3 linked regions of the Caenorhabditis elegans genome follow. The protein of the gene in region 2 purifies or fractionates together with the protein of the main gene of each other region. This does not show direct contact. Each region holds a gene or a part of one and is shown on either strand. Other genes may lie near its edges.

Region 1 (5,839 bases), on a different chromosome or scaffold from region 2:
TGCGATCCAGTAGCTCCAGGAGCACCACGAAGACCTGGTGGACCTGCTTGGCCTGGAATTTCGTTAACTGTTCCGGGCATTCCATCGTCTCCACGTCTTCCAGGTCGTCCATCTTCTCCATTTGGTCCACGTTCTCCCTGCTCTCCTGGTCTCCCGCATCTTCCATTTCTACCAGGCATACCATCCATTCCAGGTCGCCCAGAATTACCCTGAGGACCTGGATTTCCTGGTGGCCCTGGTGGTCCTGCTGGGCAATCAAGCTCAATTTGTGATCCATCAGAAGACGATTCTCCATCCAAATCTTGCCCATCTCGTCCAGGTTTTCCGGCTGGTCCATCTATTCCATCTCGTCCTGGTCGACCTGGGAAACCTGCTGGCCCAGCAAGACCAATTCCACAGCTGCAACAAGAATCGGAAGAAGATGAAGAAGAAGTGGATGCAGCGTCGTATGGAGATGGAGCTGGATGACTTCCAGAAGCTCGAGAGGGGGAAGAAGCTAATATTGAATTAGTTTCAAAAAGTCCCACAAAAGTTACAAGTTACCTCCATATCCAGCTTGTCTTTTTACTGGCCCTGAACCAACAGCCTTCGTTGATTCATACATATTTTCCAGATTCTTAGCCCCGTCAACACAAAATCCAACCTAAAAATGCAGAATAAATACCAAAATGTGAATAGAAATCACTTGCATCAGTTTGAACAGAGCTTTGAATATATTGTAGATATGTGTAAAGCCCAGGAATTAGAATAATGCACATGATTCCAGAAGCAGCACTGAAAATTTCCAGCTTGTACTATTCTGCCACGTGGAAATCGGAACATACCTGACAACAGTCGCCACGAAAGCAACTTTTCGAAGTTCATCCTCTTCAGAATTCACTAAATTCTTCTTCAAATTCATTTCTTCTTCCAATCACCTAATCATTTTCAACTGTGTTTTATATCATTCACGCTTATCACTTTACTGTTTTATTACAATCCTACAACGGATAGAACACGTTAAAAAATAAGGATAATTGATAGCAAGTCAAAGATAACATTACACATTATTAGTGGAATGGTTCAAAAAACATCTGGAAAAGGGAGGTAGATGTGATTTAGATTGAATCGTAGACTTAGGATGAGGTTTACATTGGGTAAAAACCAGTTTCGATGGAGAAATGTCACAGAAAATATTTAATGAGATAGGTGGAGAGTGGAGGAAATTTTACATTTTACACATATAAAAAACAATCAGTATTCGGTTAAATTACACAGCTTGATCATCCACATACATCAGTCGCCAACGGCTTGGATTTGAAATGTCGAGCAGGAAGAATTGATTATTGTCCCAATTATTCAACATGGGTTGATTGAACATTACACTGATCTTTGGTGAAATTCCGAAAAGAAGCATTCCGATACATTGTTGACCACAGAAGTCTTGAAGTGCCTCTTTTAAGTGTGCTTCATCACGGAGATTGATTCTCATTGGAACATAGAGATGCTCATCTGTTCCATCATTTTTAGAAAGGAAGAATTCAAAATGATGAGTCGGAGTCGTAGTAGTTCTTGGATATCTGTTCGGTTCTCCTTTCCACAGTTTTCTCAATTTTCTGGCAAGCTCGAAAGTTGGCTGGAACATCGGATCTCTTCTCAAATCATGTTCTTCATTCGTCAAATCAGTAGCTTTTCTTTTGATTGCTGGTTGTCTATATGAAGGTGAGTCGTAGTTCTCTGTTGGAATTATTAGTGGAGCAATTGTGGCGGTCTGCAATGGCTTAAAAATTATTATAGAATAAACTTTCAACACTAAGTTGACATACCAAGTTTGGAGACATATGCTGTGTGTATCTTTCAGGAGTGAATTGTTCGTTTTTCACCATATTTGACATCTCCGTTTTAATATTATTTAAAAATGGCATCTGCGCAAGGAGCATTGAATGAGACGTCATTGGAGCAGTGGCCGAAGTTGACTGGAGAAAAGACGCGACCCCAGAAGATGTGGGTATTGAGCCATTCTGCATTGCTTGCGCATAAGCTGCTCGAGCCGCCACAATTGATGATGCACTTTGTTGCTTCTGTTGTTCTTCTTCTTGCTGTTGAACGAGCCTCTTTGCAGCTGCTTCTCTATCCGCAACTTGCTTTCGGATCTTTCTTCGTTGATTTGGATCAGCAACATTTCCAACTATGTAGACACGATTTCTTTCGATATTCGTTGGGTCCAATCCATAAAGTCTAACTTCTTCATCTATTGGTGCACTGTGATTGTGCTCATGGATAAACGTGAGGATCTTTTCAGTAACAATATCCGTATGCATTCGTGCTTTACAAGTGTTCTTGTATTCACATCTCCAGAAATATTTCTTTTGACATGATGAAAGCTTGTCAAATGTCATGAAAAATCCGTTTGAAAACACTTTCAGACGAGTTTTCTTTGGGATATCAGTACGTGGAGAACCTGCATCTCTTTTAGCAACCGCAGTGGATCCATTGGCGAGAGCGGCGGTCAATAATTTTGACATGGTGAGGCCTGCGTTGTCTCCGAATCCACCGGCACTGGCACTGGCAAGAAGTGCCTGTAAAACAGCGTTGTTCTGAAATAACAATCAAATGAAATAACATCTTGGATAGAGGAAACTTACTTTAATAACGCTAGACATATCAATTCCGCTCGCGAGCAACTGGTTAACAGGAGCAGATGTAGATGCTTGGGACACAATCTCCATTGGTACAGCTGTGACAGAAGTCGATGGTTCGGAAGTTTCGGCTTCTCCATCATCGGATCTAACTTCAGGAGCATCCGCAAGACTTGGAGCATTAAGAGAAGACGACGACGGAGGGGATGGAGAAGATATGTTGGAGTTCATTCTGAAATTAATAAATTATTCTAAGTTACATGGAAGATAAGACCAATTGAGTGATGAGGTTAAAATAGGAAGTAAAAAACTATGCAGCCAGACGGTAGACCAAAATCCTATTGGAATGACATATTTGTAACATTAGCAGCGTTCGGGGGTCTAAGTCTCTCAACCCAACGGGGAAAGGGCGGGACATTATGGTCCCTTCTTCTGCGTCTCTCTGATTCATTTGTTGTCTCTTCTAATGACGTGCGCGGTCAGCCGCTCGCGGACCGCGTACGCGCACTCTTGGGTCCGTTCCACTGTTTACACCAAAGAGGTCCTTCGTGGGAGGGCAATCGCAGCAAACGGGAGCAAAAAAAGACGACGGCATGGAGGCAGCGGGGACAGATGGTGACGTTGGATTACAGTAGATAGGGCGATGTTGGGAGGGGAGAGAAGAACGCTAGACGTGAGAAAAGGGAGACATGTAGGATTAACAATAGAGGCAAGCGTTTTTTTATGATTGAGCAGGAGCCTTACGATTCTGGCGAATACATCCTCCGATATTAGATAATTGGAAGACGCCGTCCTGAAAATAAATTTAGATTTTATAAAAATTTCGAATAAAATAGATTAAGATGGCAACGTGTGTAAAAAAACAAATACTGCCTGTAAAATACAAAAGCGAAAAAAAAAACGATTTTTAAACAAATGTCTCATAGTTGAGAATATTTTGATTTATTTTTGGTTTTATTTTTAGATTTGGCAAAAATAATTTAAAATAATCCAAAAGGAACTTCTGTTTATTTAGGTTGGTTTTTTAAGCATTTGAGAGATTATAAGAATAACTTTCGGTTTTCTTATAATTGGAAATTGAAAATTACTATTTTAACGATTTAATATGAAAAGAAATTGCGAGAAACACAGATCTGTCCAGAGAAAAAACAAATGAAACGAAAAATGATGAACAGTTATGCGCGTGGACTACTGTCACTCATTGACGTTTTTTGTGCAATAACGGCTACGATAAATTGCGTATCACTGGAAACTTATTTGAACAGGCCTAAAAAACAAAATAGAATATTGCATGTTGCTTTGGTGGTCCACGAGGTTGTGAAAATGGAAAATGAAATATCAATAAGTCACCATATATATTTTTTACATAGTTGCAGCAGTTTCAAATAGGAATTCATCTCTAATGGGATGATGCAAGTGAATTTTTCTACATTTCTCAACAATTTATTTGCAATGCAAGTAAGCAGCGAAATGACGCGAAATTCGCAATTTTTTTACATTTATTTACATTTCTCTACATTTCTCGACGTGGGAAAAAACACTCATTTTTCGTCAAAACCACGTCTTTAGTTCATGACTTTACCTTCCCAGACGTTCACGTTTGTGAAAAGTAGTGTAAAATGGGAAAAATAAAAATAATTTGAGAATTTTAAAAGATAGATGCGTGGTCATTCAACGTGGTTTTGAATTCTAAAATTTAAAAATGATCAAGTTTGATTTTTCAAATTTGGCTGTTTTGCAACACCACGTTGAATGGCCACGCATCTATCTTTTAAAATTCTCAAATTATTTTTATTTTTCCCATTTTACACTACTTTTAACAAACGTGAACGTCTGGGAAGGTAAAGTCGTGAACTAAAGACGTGGTTTTGACGAAAAATGAGTGTTTTTTTCAAATGTCGAGAAATGTAGAGAAATGTAAAAAAAATGGCGAATTTTGCGTCATTATGCTGCTTACTTGCATTGCAAATAAATTGTCGAGAAATGTAGAAAAATTCACTTGCATCATCCCATAAAAAGCATTTTACTAGCACATATGAAGAAAATAACATTACAATATTATTTGAAAATTCAGAAACGATCATAATCTCTTCCTCTTCTAGCCCGTACGTGGTTTGGCTTTGGTTCTTTATCAAAAAAGGGATGCAGCCTTTTCGGCTCACAGTTAACAATTTGGTGTAAAATCCACTTGTTGCTTAAAGTATGCAGCCGAAAATATTCAACAGAATCAAATCTATCAAACATTTTTTGAAAATTAACTTTTGTTTATGGGGTGCTGAGATGTATACAAAATTTCGATCTGAAGAAGAGAAGAAATGCATTTTAAAAGACCTCAGAAGTCATGGGAACATTAATATTGTGTGGAAGAGAGCTTCATCAACCGATGTGAGTGCCACCAAACAAACGAATTCTTTTCTTGGAACATGATATATTTGTGGGAGTCTTATTCGTTCTTCTACTGTATTTCTCGATGGTTTTATGGTGTTCATCCAACTCTGAGCAAAACCAAATCCCATTGTAATATTATCTTGTGCTCGCTGTGACCAGTGCTCTGGAATTCCCCTTTTTGGGCTGTTTGGAGGTACTATTGGATCATATTCTTTAGGTTCTGTTACAGGAGACCTTGTTGGAGACGGTGAATTGTGACGAGACTGTGTTGGAGTTTTTTCTTCTGATGACAAAGGAGATGGAGGATCAAATGGAAAGTACTGATGAATGCGAGAATCCTGAAAGAGAACAAAGGTTGCTCAGAGTTCTCATTAAAATTCAAAAACTGACCTTTCTAGGAAAAATTGGTGGAACTATGCATGAGCGTCTTCTAGGATTACTGTATGGACTGGAACGTTGAGATGTATCATTTCTAAGAACATGCCGCATGTATTGTCTTCGTTTCCTTTTGGAGAATCTCTTACAGGTCTTGGAACTCTTTCAGTTCTTGGGGGCGTGACCATTAAATTTCGGAAAAATGGATGAAGATTACTATGATGTGATTCTTCAACTGTTTCATCTAAACTCTTTGTATCTTGTTCTGTTCGTACTTCATCGTCCACAATGCTCTGTGATCTTCTTCTAGGAGTACTTTGATTTGACATTCTGAGAAACTCAATATTCGATAGATTTGTAAACCGTATGAGGCAATTTAATATATGATAAGAACTTAAGAAAAACAAAAAAGGTAACAGGATACATAACAATTCATATGCGTAAAGTAAAAAATTTGG
Region 2 (8,140 bases):
CTAGTGTTTTTTCTGAAATTTATCGATTTTTCGTATATTTTTGAGCTCAAATTTCAATGAGAAAATGTCTTTTTAAGATCTTTTTATGGGATTTCATAGATTTCAGTGCGAAAATTGCAATTTTTGAGGAGAAAATTGGAGATTTTCAGTTTTCGGCGATACTTTTCAGAAAAAAAAACTGATTTTTCCCTTGAGCAGCGCCCAAAAGTTGTAGTTTGTAGTTTAGCAGCGCCCAAAATTGAATTAGCAGCGCCCAAAACTTGTAGTTTGTAGTGTTAGCAGCGCCCAAAACTTGTAGTTTGTAGTTTAGCAGCGCCCAAAACTTGTAGTTTGTAGTCTAAGCAGCGCCCAAAATTGAATTAGCAGCGCCCAAAACTTGTAGTTTGTAGTCTAAGCAGCGCCCAAAATTGAATTAGCAGCGCCCAAAACTTGTAGTTTGTAGTCTAAGCAGCGCCCAAAATTGAATTAGCAGCGCCCAAAAGTTGTAGTTTGTAGTGTTAGCAGCGCCCAAAACTTGTAGTTTGTAGTCTAAGCAGCGCCCAAAATTGAATTAGCAGCGCCCAAAACTTGTAGTTTGTAGTCTAAGCAGCGCCCAAAAGTTGTAGTTTGTAGTTTAGCAGCGCCCAAAATTTGTAGTTTGTAGTGTTAGCAGCGCCCAAAACTTGTAATTTGTAGTCTAAGCAGCGCCCAAAACTTGTAGTTTGTAGTCTAAGCAGCGCCCAAAATTGAATTAGCAGCGCCCAAAAGTTGTAGTTTGTAGTTTAGCAGCGCCCAAAATTGAATTAGCAGCGCCCAAAAGTTGTAGTTTGTAGTGTTAGCAGCGCCCAAAACTTGTAGTTTGTAGTTTAGCAGCGCGTAAAATTGAATTAGCAGCGCCCAAAAGTTGTAGTTTGTAGTTTAGCAGCGCCCAAAATTGAATTAGCAGCGCCCAAAAGTTGTAGTTTGTAGTGTTAGCAGCGCCCAAAACTTGTAGTTTGTAGTTTAGCAGCGCGTAAAATTGAATTAGCAGCGCCCAAAAGTTGTAGTTTGTAGTTTAGCAGCGCCCAAAACTTGTAGTTTGTAGTCTAAGCAGCGCCCAAAATTGAATTAGCAGCGCCCAAAACTTGTAGTTTGTAGTCTAAGCAGCGCCCAAAATTTGTAGTTTGTAGTGTTAGCAGCGCCCAAAACTTGTAGTTTGTAGTCTAAGCAGCGCCCAAAACTTGTAGTTTGTATTCTAAGCAGCGCCCAAAATTGAATTAGCAGCGCCCAAAACTTGTAGTTTGTAGTTTAGCAGCGCCCAAAATCACATTTTCGCTCAAAATTAACCAAAATTGCCGGTTTTTTCGCATTTTTCGACGGAATTTTCTGTTTAATTCGTTAAAATTTGGGAATTTTTATGATTTTTCAGCGGAAATCGCTTGAGCAGCGCCCAAAACTTGTAGTTTGTAGTTTCCACGTGGGGCTCAATTCCTCGAAACTTACACAAATTCGCCAGTTTTGAAGCTTTTCGTGTCATTTTTATCGTGAAATTCGACATTTGTGGGTTTCAGCGCCTTATCAACATAAAATTCACTGTCCAATCCATACAAAAGCTGTCCTTTATCACTAATATCATCACTTTCTCGCCGTTCCAGCAGCTCTTGCGGTGCTTCATCATCATCATCATCAGTCGGTGGATCCGAATCGAATCCGCTGCTTTCCCCGCCGCCGGCTTCTCGATTTTCAGCCGGCGGTAGATCACCGGATTCACTGCTCGCCGAGCTGTCTGGAGCCCCCCCGGCGGCCGAAATTCCGACGCCATTGTACTCGACGCCATATCCAACGTACCAGCCGTCTTCTAAATTCGAATTATCAATCGAAAAAGTGTCGATTTGAAGGATTTCGCAGGGTTTTGTGGATTTTTGAGCATTTTCGTGCTGTTCCATCGTTAATCCTTGCTTCCCGAGCGCATTTTTCAGCGTTTTCAGCTCTCTTTTTGTGAGATTTCGGGCTTTTTCAGGAATCTGCGGGATTTCGGACGATTGGGGCATCAGAACCTGGAAAAAATAATTGTTATGCTGTTAAAATCGAATTTTGGGGCAAAAAAAACCTTAAAAATACGATTTTCCGGCTGAATTTCATTATTTTTCGCAAAAATTTCAGATTTAGCTCGAAAATCGGTTGAATCTTGCCGATATTTGATAGTTTTCACCCGTAAAAACCCCGAAATCCATGAAAAACCACTTTAAAACTGAAAAACAAATTATACAACTAGGAAATGGATATTTTTCAGCGTTTTAGGTGTATGAATAGGAGATTTTAACGCTTTTTTAATTAATTTTTGCTTTAAAAAACTGATTTTTACCCAAAAAATCTGTGAAAATTGAGTTTTTCAGCTGAAACATCGTTTCAAAACGAAAAAATAAATTTGCCGGCACGAGAATCGCGCCAGTCAACCCCCTTTGCGCATCTCCAGTGCGCTGGCGCATTTCTCGTGCACCAACTATTTTATTTGCTTTTCCGCGAAAAAATCAATTTCCATGACAGAAAACGACAAAAAATCGCAATATTTTTCGAATGGAGACTTTGAAAAAGTCGCTGCCGATATTATTAGTAGTCCGAGACGTCTGAAGCACACGAGTCCAGGTGATTATTTTGAAAAATAAAGAATTTCAGCTCGAAATCGGCAAATTTGATGCAAAAACGTGGAAATTAAGCTGAAAAACGGTGAAAAATCCAGAAAAATTAGGAAAAAGTGCAAAATTATCCTCAAAAATGAGTAGTTTTAATGAAAATATAACCTTTTTCGATTTTTCTCAAATTTTTTCGCATTTTTGAAGAGATTTCCGCTATAAAACAGATGAAACTAATTTAAAAAAACCACTTTTGAAGGTTTTTGAGTGAATTTTTTGGGCGCTGCTTAGACTACAAACTACACAATTTTAGGCGCTGCTAATTCAATTTTGGGCGCTGCTAAACTACAAACTACAAGATATTGGTCGCTGCTAAACTACAAACTACACAATTTTGGGCGCTGCTAAACTACAAACTACAAGATTTTGGGCGCTGCTAAACTACAAACTACACAATTTTGGGCGCTGCTAAAGCTACAAACTACACAATTTTGGGCGCTGCTAAACTACAAACTACAAGATATTGGTCGCTGCTAAACTACAAACTACACAATTTTGGGCGCTGCTAAACTACAAACTACACAATTTTGGGCGCTGCTAAACTACAAACTACACAATTTTGGGCGCTGCTAAACTACAAACTACACAATTTTGGGCGCTGCTAAACTACAAACTACAAGTTTGGGCGCTGCTAATTCAATTTTGGGCGCTGCTAAACTACAAACTACAAGATTTTGGGCGCTGCTAAAGCTACAAACTACACAATTTTGGGCGCTGCTAAAGCTACAAACTACACAATTTTGGACGCTGCTTTTCCGTTTAGCGGCGCCAAAATCGATTTTTTCTATTTTTAAGCACATTTTCTCAGGGAAAATTGCAAAAATCGAAATTATTTCGGTTTTAAAGCTAAAAAACTCGAAAAAATCCAAATTTCCCCAATTTTCAGCCGATTCCAACGCGGATTCTCTCTTCAAAATCACTGAAAAACAGCAGGAATACTACACAAAATGCTTCCGTCACTTAATAAAAACCACTCAAGGCGCCGCAGACCTCTGCGGAGCCCTTTGCGGAGCCGATCAACGAATTGTAGCGTTTTTCAAGAGAAGCTCGCTGGATATGAGCTCTTTATCGAAAATCTGGTCGCTGGCCGATGTGAATGAAGACGGATGGTTGGATTTAAACGAATTCTCGATTGCGATGCATTTAGTAGTGTTGAAAGTGAAAGGAGAAGTTCCGATTCCTGATGTGCTACCCGGTTTCGCGCGGCCACCACTTACAGAGCCACGGGCTCCGTCTACAGTTGCGGCGACGCCTAGTCCCGCCGGTGCAGGACATGTAGAAGCTGATGGGCCAGTGAAAAATGTGGGGGTTTTTGAAATAATTTAATTGACTTTTGAATATGTATCATCATTCAAAACATTAACGACGTTTTTTTTTTAATTTCGAATTTTTCCAATTCCAGTGGGCAAACCAGCCAATCATCAAACAATTCTCGGATACACCGCCATTATTAGTGGACAGTAGGCCAACAGCTATCAAGCATTCTGCATTGTTAGCACTTAAGAGTCCACTGGGTAAGTTTGGATTCATTGAAGAAATTGTTGTAGTGTTTATTATACTTCTCAAATGTGTGAACACAATATAAAAAGTTTAAATTATTGACTAATAATAATTTATTCGAAAAATTGCTAGTTGAATAGCAGTCATACTACAAAAACTACAATAGTTTTCGATTCAAATGTTTTAGAAAACCTAGTTTTCTAATCAGTAACATAGTTATTTATATACTGACTAAGTAACTAATTATTTAATTAATAACTATTTAAGTACGTTTTTAATTCGTGACTTAGTTAGTAATTAAAATACTTACTGAGTTGCTAATTATATAACTTGGTAAGTAGTTAATTAGAAACTTAGTTATGAAATTACTAACTCAATACGAATTTAATTACTAACTTAGTGAGTATTTAATTAGTAACATAGTTATTTAATTTATAACTCAGGAAGTATTTAATTAGTGACTTAGTTAGTAATTAAATAACTAAGTAAGTATTTAATTACTAACCCTGTTAGTGTTAATTAGTAACAAAGTGAGTATTTAATCAGTAACGTAGTTATTTAATTTGTAACTAAGGAAGTATTAAATTGCTACTAAGTGAGTATTTAATTACTAACTAAGTGGGTATTTAATTAGTAACAGAGTGAGTTTTTAACTACTAATTTTCTTATTTAATCATCATCTAAATAAGTACTTAATTAGTAACTTAGTAATTAAATTACTAACTACGTAAGTATGTAGTTAGTAACTTAGTTATTTAATTACCTAAATAAGTATTAATAAGTATTAAGTATTAAGTAAGTTCATTAAAACACGCAACACTCAATATTTAGTAGTATTTGCAATCTAAGAGCAGCGCCCGAAATCAATAATCCATATTTTCAGGACCCCCACCAATTCCACCTGTCCGCCCACAACAACAACAACGTGGACACAACAGAAGTGCAAGTCTTGACTTGAAATTGATTGCATTGAATAAGACAAAAGCCTCGGCGGAATCCCAGCTACCACCAACTACCCTATCACTTTGGTCATCACATTCCGATCCGACAGCTCAATCGATTAGTACTACAACGACTACGACTACTTTTGCGTCTTTTCCTGGTATGAGACTGAAAAATTGGGCAGAAATTCGAAAAAAATTTTAAAAAAACTGGAATTTTTCAAAAAATATATTGCTTTCAATTTTCGAGAAAAAATCAAAATATTCCCAATTTCCGCAAATTTTCAGCCACCCCGGACAGTATTCCACCGCCGATTCCACAAAGAATCACACCGTCACCTCTACCGGTAAGTTAAGGGAAAGCTTTTAGTTGTAGTTTGTAGTCTTAGCAGCGCCCAAAGTTTGAAATTATTCGTTTTAACGAATTTTTAAGAAAAACTTTTCAAAATTGCGATAAAATCGAAAATTAGTGTAGTTTTTATTTTCTGAACAGGTTGAAAATCACAAAAATATGATTTTTAAACAATTTTTGGCTATTTTTTTGTGCGCTGCTATTTTTTTGGGCGCTGCTAATTTTTGGGCGCTGCTATTTTTTTGGGCGCTGCTAATTTCTTGGGCGCTGCTAATTTCTTGGGCGCTGCTAATTTCTTGGGCGGGCTGCTAAAAATTTACTTGTAGTTTGTAGTTTTAGCAGCGCCAAAATTCAAAAATACTCATTTTTAACCATTTTTCTTCAAATTTTTCAAATTTTTCACTGAAAAATCTCCAAAAATTCACAATATTTTTGCAGAGAGTCATCGAAGAGGAAAAACGAATTACCACAACAGATTCATCAACACAAACTACAGAATTACTCTATTCTGAGGAAGATGTGAAGAGCTTTTTCTCGAAAATCGGCCATCAAATCGACGATTTAATTGGAGAAGAGATTCAGGCAACTGATGGGCAAGGAATTGAACGATGGAAGGAACGTTGTACAGCTTTGAGGACTCAAAATTCGGAATTAGAAGCCGAAAGAGCACGGTTGGCTCAAGTACGGATTCAATTGGAAATACGAATTCAGGAATTTGAAGAGAGATCCAAAACTGCGTGCTCTTCTTCTACACTTTAATGATATCCCCGGTGGAGGAAAAATGGATGGGAAATTCGAATTTTTGAGGAAAAATAGGAAAAAAATAATTTTTTTCGGCTTGAAAAACTAGGAAATAACACATTTTATTTCGAATTTTCCGGAAAAAATTTTTTTTTTGGAAAAAACTCAATTTTTAGCTGGAAAAATAGAATTTTTAAAGATTTATTACGTTTGGTTAGGAAAATAACAAAAAAATTCGAAATGTATCAATTTCTATGGAAAATTATTTTTTCTGAAAATTTATTGATTTTTCTGAAAATTTATTGATTTTTCTGAAAATTTATCGATTTTTCTGAAAATTTATTGATTTTTCTGAAAATTTATCGATTTTTCTGAAAATTTATCGATTTCTATGGAAAATTTATTGATTTTTCTGGTTTTTCGCATTAAAAAACATGAAATTTGCCCATTTTAGAGCAAATTTTCAAAAATTTCTGAGAAAAAGGTATTTCCCGAAATTAAATTTAACTTCTAAAAAAGTTTTTAATTATTTTCTATCAAAAATTCGAATTTCCCACCAATTTCTCCCCCAGATTCCCCGCAAAAAACTAAAAAATCTGCATATTTCTTCATAATTTCTGTGATATGTCATATATATATTTCATTTTTACCTATGTTGTAATTTTTTAAAATAAGCATCAATTTTTCTATTTTCTGTGATAATTTAATCTATTACACTATCTTCTTTTTTTTTTTTGAAAAAAAAAATCATAAAGTATGTATTGATTTTTACACACATTAAAAATAACTATTTTTTAAAATTGGAAAATATATATATATAAATTTTTCCAAAAAAAAATGAAATAACATGAAAGATGGGAACTATCTAAAAAATTCGGACAAAAAAATTATTACAGATCCGGCTAAAAATTTGGAAAAAATTCCAAATTTTGACAGAATTTGAGGGATCTATTATAAAAACTGCTAGAATAACAAAAAAAAAACAAAAAATTTTCGAGAAAAAAAATTATTACACATTCGTGACGAATGTATAATAATCTTAGCAGAACTAAAAAAAAACAGTAAATTATTGTTGAATTCCGAGTAATTTCTTCATCTGACGACCGTATTCCCGCGTTTTTTCGACAGTTTCCTCGCTATTTCTATAGGCTTTCCACATTTCTCCGAATTCGTCAATCGATTTTTGATCTCCACATCCGGCGGCGCTGGGGCTTAATCCAGGCGTCAACTTGGCTTTTTCCAGTAAATCGATGAGTTTGGTTTTGGTGTTGGAGCCATCGAATTCAACTTTCAGAGCGTCGGTGCGGTTCTGGAAAAAAACATTGGAAATTTGGCTGAAAAATCGATAAATTTCCGGAAAAATCAATAAATTTCCAGAAAAATCAATAAATTTTTACAAAAAGCACTGAATTTTCAATAAAAATCAATAAATTTCCAGAAAAATCGATAAATTTTTACAAAAATCACTGAATTTTCAATAAAAATCAATAAATTTCCAGAAAAATCAATAAATTTCCAGAAAAATCGATAAATTTTTAGAAAAATCAATAAATTTCCAGAAAAATCAATAAATTTTTACAAAAAGCACTGAATTTTCAATAAAAATCAATAAATTTCCAGAAAAATCGATAAATTTTTAGAAAAATCAATAAATTTCCAGAAAAATCAATAAATAAATTCTTACAAAAATCACTGAATTTTCAATAAAAATCAATAAATTTCCAGTAAAATCGATAAATTTTTACAAAAAGCACTGAATTTTCAGAAAAATCGATAAATTTCCAGAAAAATCGATAAATTTTTAGAAAAATCGATACGTTTTCAGAAAAATCGATAAATTTCCAGAAAAATCGATAAATTCCTAGAAAAATCGATAATTTCTAGAAAAATCAATAAATTTTTAGAAAAATCGATAAATTTTCAGAAAAATCGATAAATTTTTAGAAAAATCACTG
Region 3 (4,706 bases), on a different chromosome or scaffold from region 2:
CATTTTCCAAACTATTTACTACAAACCTTTACTAATATTTTTAATTTTGAAGGCCGTGTAAAAATCTCCCCACTTATCACTTTTGGTTAGAATTGTCAGCATAGGCAGTGGAGTTGCAGTTATTGCATGTCTTTTCGCTGTTGGATATAGTTTCAATGATATCAATTCCTTCTACGATGAGGTTATGGATACTATGACTGAGTTCAAAGTATATTTTTTTTAACCAAAGCTTCGAAAAACATTTGCATATTTTTAATGTTTCAGTTCAACGAACAACAGGCATGGAACTCAATGGTGAAACCAATCGATGTCTTTGGAAGAATTAAACGTAGAGCCAACACGCGTCAAGCACAATGTAACTGTGAATCCCAATCTCAAGGATGCCCAGCTGGACCACCAGGACCACCAGGTCAGCCTGGAGCACAAGGAGAGCAAGGACATGTTGAAGTTTCTGGACAACCAGGAGCACCAAGACCACAAGGACCAGCCGGAGGACCAGGACAACCAGTACAATCTGGTGGATCAGGAGCCTCAGGAGCACCAGGACAGCCAGGGCAAGCCGGTGCACAAGGAACTCCAGGAGCGCCAGGAAACTCTGGATCTCCAGGAGGAGATGCTGCTCATTGTCCATGCCCATCTCGTTCCGTTGTAGTTCGTAAACATCGCAAGGTCTTCCGCAAGCGTGTTGACAAGGTTTCAGCTTAGCTTCCCTTTGTTTTCCTACAAATAAATCATTTTGCATAAAAATTGTTAATTCGAGAATATACAAAACTGGTTGCAAAACATTTTCTAGGTCTGAACTGTCTTCTAATGGTATATTTGAACTCACACTCACGTATTTTATTTTATGGAATTGATTTCAAAGACACTAATCACGGTATACAAGCAGAGCATAGGTCAACATCATTAACCATTGTTGTCATTTCTTATCTAATCAGTTTTAGTTTTTCATGCAAAAATGATATTTGCACTTTTTCGCTACATCATCGACTTTTACAGATTCTAGAGTACTCTCTCAAAAAACTCATCTCGATTTCACTCAAAAAAGAACATGGAAGATGAAACCACAATTGTTGGAAATATTGTAATAGCTTTCACTAATCTACCACCTTCAGCACGTACTTTTCAAATTCCTCTTGAATTTGATTGATTTTTCCAACAGTTTTTATCGCTAGTCGTGTGTTTTACTTTTCATGTTGTGTTTCGATGTGAAGTTCTCTGATTCTGCCTGTTATTTAAAATTGATAGTAAACTTTTCGTACACCTGTTTGGTTATAAAAATCCACGTTAAAAAGTGATTCCGATATTTAATGAAACATTTATTGAATAATTAAGAGAGTAACATTTTAAGATGGATTGAAAGAATGCCGAGGCGTTGAAAAATTAAGCCGTATTGTTTCGTATTACAACAAACGAAAAAGTGCAATGGAAATGGTAAAGTAAAAGCAATAGTATCAAATCGAAAAAATGCTAAAAAAGCGATAGTAGCTAAAAGAAGAAAAATTAACACGGAAAAAGTAATTGGGTGATATTAAATTATTGATAATTGGTTACTTCTCCGGTTTCATCAAAATCTTCTTCATTTTGGAGTGTTTCCTTGATAGCAGACAATCGTTTCTTAGCAGATGCCAGATGTTCTTTCATTTTAGGTGAAGTTGTCTGAGAAGAGACACGTTCCTCGTAGAACTTTGTGCACAATCTTTGGAACTTCAAGTTGAACTGTTCGAACTCTTTTTGAGATTCTTCATATTTCGACAAGGCTTCGGATTTCATTTTCTTGGTCTCTTCAAGTTCATGTTTCAAAGCTTTGGTTCCATTTTTCATTTCATCAAGTTCCTTAGAGGTGTCGTTGTTTTCAGATTTCAATGTAAGAATATCACTTCTCAGACACAAAATTCTGACTTCTCTTTCATTGATTTCATGTACCAATACATCTTTCTCTTGTTTCAATTGTTGAGCTTCTTTGAAATATCTCTCTCTCGAATCCTTTTCCATATTCAATTCATATCTCACTCCCATACAAATGGCCGATTGTCTTTTGATAAATTCGTTCAAATTTTTCTCAACTTCAGTCATTCTTTCCTTGTATTCTTCAAAGTTCTTTTTGATTCTCTTCAATTCCATTTCTTGTTTCATCAATGTCATTTTGTTCACATTGATCTTCTTCTCATCATAGAATTCTTCACAAGCCTCGATAAAAGCATCCTTTTCATGAAGACGTTCTTTCAATTTTTCCAATGACTTTTGATGTTCTCCATTCAAATCTTCAACCTTCTTTTCCAAATTATTGATTATTGTGTAGAGACGATTGAGTTCCGAATCATGGCACTTCGCTTCCCCTTTCAGATCAGAGATCTCAAGTCGAGAATTGGCAAGCTCTCGTCGTCTGAAATTGAACATATTAAGAATGGGTTAGTACAATATAATCTATATAACAGGTTGCACGTTGTCCTAGAGTTCAAACAACTTACGTTTTCTGATGATCAAATCGTTCGTCATCCAATTTCATTTGAAGAAGTGCGATCTCCGATTTCAACTTGGACTCGGTGGGAGTGAAGAATGGATTTTCAGCAAACATAGTTTCAGTTCTGAAAAATATTTAATTGAAAAGAAACGTTTAGTGAAACTGCAGTAGAAAATACTAGAGCAAATAAATAAATGAAAAAAGGAAAGATGCACCTTTTGAGAATGTTAGGTGAGAATGAGTAATTGGATCGAAAAAACAGTGAGAGAGAACGATGGTGAGAATTTACAGCGTCCAAATATGGATCGATATTCACAATTTTGGAAAAGCGTTGCATTGTATGGTGATCTTCTGTCGAAGAACATAATATATTGATTGGATCGAGAGAAGTCATTCAGAATGTAGTTGACTCCAAATCTATGGCTATACTAAAATGGGCATTTTGTAAACGTTGAAAGAAACTAAATTTCCAATTCCAATTAATCTAGCTCCCACTATTGTTAATTCAGTACCATCGATACAAATCTCGCAGGTTTTATCAATCTTTCATCCCACTCAAACCTTAAGAAAGAAAAAAATGTTAACATTCAAAGATGTAAAAAAATTTTATCACTTTCAAGTTTCAAAAATTAATTTTGGCTATAAATATGCTATTCCAGTTTTTAATTGAAAATCTAGCAGTCTCGAAGGCCATATAAGCTATTTAAAATCAGATATACGTGCAATACGATCAGGAAAAATCCGGTACATGAAAAACCAAAGTAATACTTTTTTACACTATTTTATTTACACTAGAAATGTCAGTATTCTGAAATAGAGGGCTCTATTCTCTTTTCGTCTTCGGTTGAAGATTTTTTAAAGGAATTAATACAAATACACAATTACTTACTAGGACTGCAACTGGGATATCTCAGAAAATTAAAACAATCAAAATAAGAACAAAAAAATAAACGTACCGAATGGGACCTGGATAAAATGAGAAGAATGAATTGAGAACAACATGAATGAGAGTGAATGTTAGGTAGTTCATTACAGCGTCTGGATTTGGATCGATATCCAGAAAGGCTCTATGAGATCGTCTGCTTATTGTCTCCCTCTCCCTGAAACGGCAGATTGAGAAGGTACCAAAATATAAGGTCACAAAAACTGGTACCCTAGATTTATAGAACCATGAAATAGCTAATGGAAGTTAAGTTTATATGTATGGGGCTCTTCAAACTAGGATTTAAAAAGAGACAAAGGAAAGACTGAATTGAAGTATTAAAAACGTAATATATTTATTTGGCGGTCGCAGCGTCCGAACATGAATTGATATCCAGATTAAATCCGTTTTATTGTCAACTGTGGCACCTCTTTATCCTTAAAGTGAAAATTAAAATCCATAAAATGTACTCTAGACTGACGATGACACTCGGCTGAAATTTAATTATTTTAAATCGTTCACTTAAGTAGCTTCATTGATCTATTGAAACCAAAAATACAAACGAAATCCCACCAATATTTGTTGTAATTCCTAAATACAGAAGTTATTCAGACATTTGCCAATATTACCAACACTTCCATTTGATTTACCCTAGTTTTCAACACACAAATACTTGCATGTTGTTCTTAAATTTTTTTTTCTTTCTTAAGAAATAAAAAGAATATGATTTCAAAATGTGGCATGCAAATCTGACTATCAGACAATTGATAATGAGTCAAATCTTTGTATATAATTTTTTTTAATTAGCAAGATCTTTGTAATATTCTACTTTACTAAAGCTATTCAAGCATTTGTTGCCTTCTATCAGTATTCATCTAAAAAGTTTAATAACAGGTTTTAGACAAATTTCAATTTTTTTTTCGGGAAATGCACTTTAAGAGTCTATTGTAACAATCACTTGATCGGTTTGTAGTCACTTGATTATCTAAAAAAAAAGCTCCTCCCTCTTTCTGATCAACTAGATGGAAAACCAAACAAAATGCAACATTTCTTATCGCAGAATTCGAATTGATAAAAAGAAACCTCCAAAAACTGCTTTGAAAATCAAGTGCTTATTTACATTTTCAGGTTTTCAAGAAATGCTTCATGTTGATAAAGTGGACAGTCTCCAGACTGAAAAGGTTAATATTCGTGCAAGTGGGCTCGTTGAATGGAGTTGTTATACATTCATTTTGAGGTGAGATCTCAATTTTTTTGTTATTCTTCATTTGTATCTTTGAGTTTTTGAAGATCATGATGTTTTAAGTGTATTCTGTAGAT

Evidence for each region.
Region 1: the proteins of reps-1 (region 2) and flh-1 purify together in Caenorhabditis elegans (affinity purification with western blotting, with the first as the bait; one study listed by BioGRID). This does not show direct contact.
Region 3: the proteins of reps-1 (region 2) and vet-1 purify together in Caenorhabditis elegans (affinity purification with western blotting, with the first as the bait; one study listed by BioGRID). This does not show direct contact.

Annotation. Positions count from the first base shown.
Region 1 is NC_003282.8:9,260,853-9,266,691, forward strand, and holds flh-1 (FLYWCH transcription factor 1), read right to left. Parts: upstream 3,412-5,839; 5' UTR 3,380-3,411; coding exon 3,363-3,379; intron 2,851-3,362; coding exon 2,625-2,850; intron 2,577-2,624; coding exon 1,806-2,576; intron 1,760-1,805; coding exon 1,250-1,759; 3' UTR 956-1,249; downstream 1-955. Other genes in the region: col-120 (Nematode cuticle collagen N-terminal domain-containing protein), read right to left, coding at 1-496, 544-643, 690-774, 825-901; Y11D7A.19 (NADH dehydrogenase [ubiquinone] 1 alpha subcomplex subunit 13), read right to left, coding at 4,958-5,344, 5,397-5,495. UniProt on the Caenorhabditis elegans protein: Probable transcription factor. Binds to the DNA sequence motif 5'-[AG]GGCGCCG-3' in the promoters of target genes, including micro-RNA genes, in order to repress expression, and acting redundantly with flh-2.
Region 2 is NC_003283.11:18,984,727-18,992,866, reverse strand, and holds reps-1 (REPS (RalBP1-associated Eps domain-containing protein) homolog), read left to right. Parts: upstream 1-2,366; 5' UTR 2,367-2,498; coding exon 2,499-2,604; intron 2,605-3,537; coding exon 3,538-3,953; intron 3,954-4,053; coding exon 4,054-4,165; intron 4,166-5,034; coding exon 5,035-5,253; intron 5,254-5,380; coding exon 5,381-5,439; intron 5,440-5,882; coding exon 5,883-6,203; 3' UTR 6,204-6,893; downstream 6,894-8,140. Other genes in the region: Y39B6A.37 (Structural protein), read right to left, coding at 1,462-2,009; mrps-35 (Small ribosomal subunit protein mS35 mitochondrial conserved domain-containing protein), read right to left, coding at 7,252-7,494.
Region 3 is NC_003279.8:6,199,489-6,204,194, forward strand, and holds vet-1 (Very Early Transcript), read right to left. Parts: upstream 2,589-4,706; 5' UTR 2,579-2,588; coding exon 2,472-2,578; intron 2,387-2,471; coding exon 1,537-2,386; 3' UTR 1,310-1,536; downstream 1-1,309. Other genes in the region: col-55 (Collagen triple helix repeat protein), read left to right, coding at 185-208, 265-705; T05E7.1 (BAAT_C domain-containing protein), read left to right, coding at 4,526-4,623.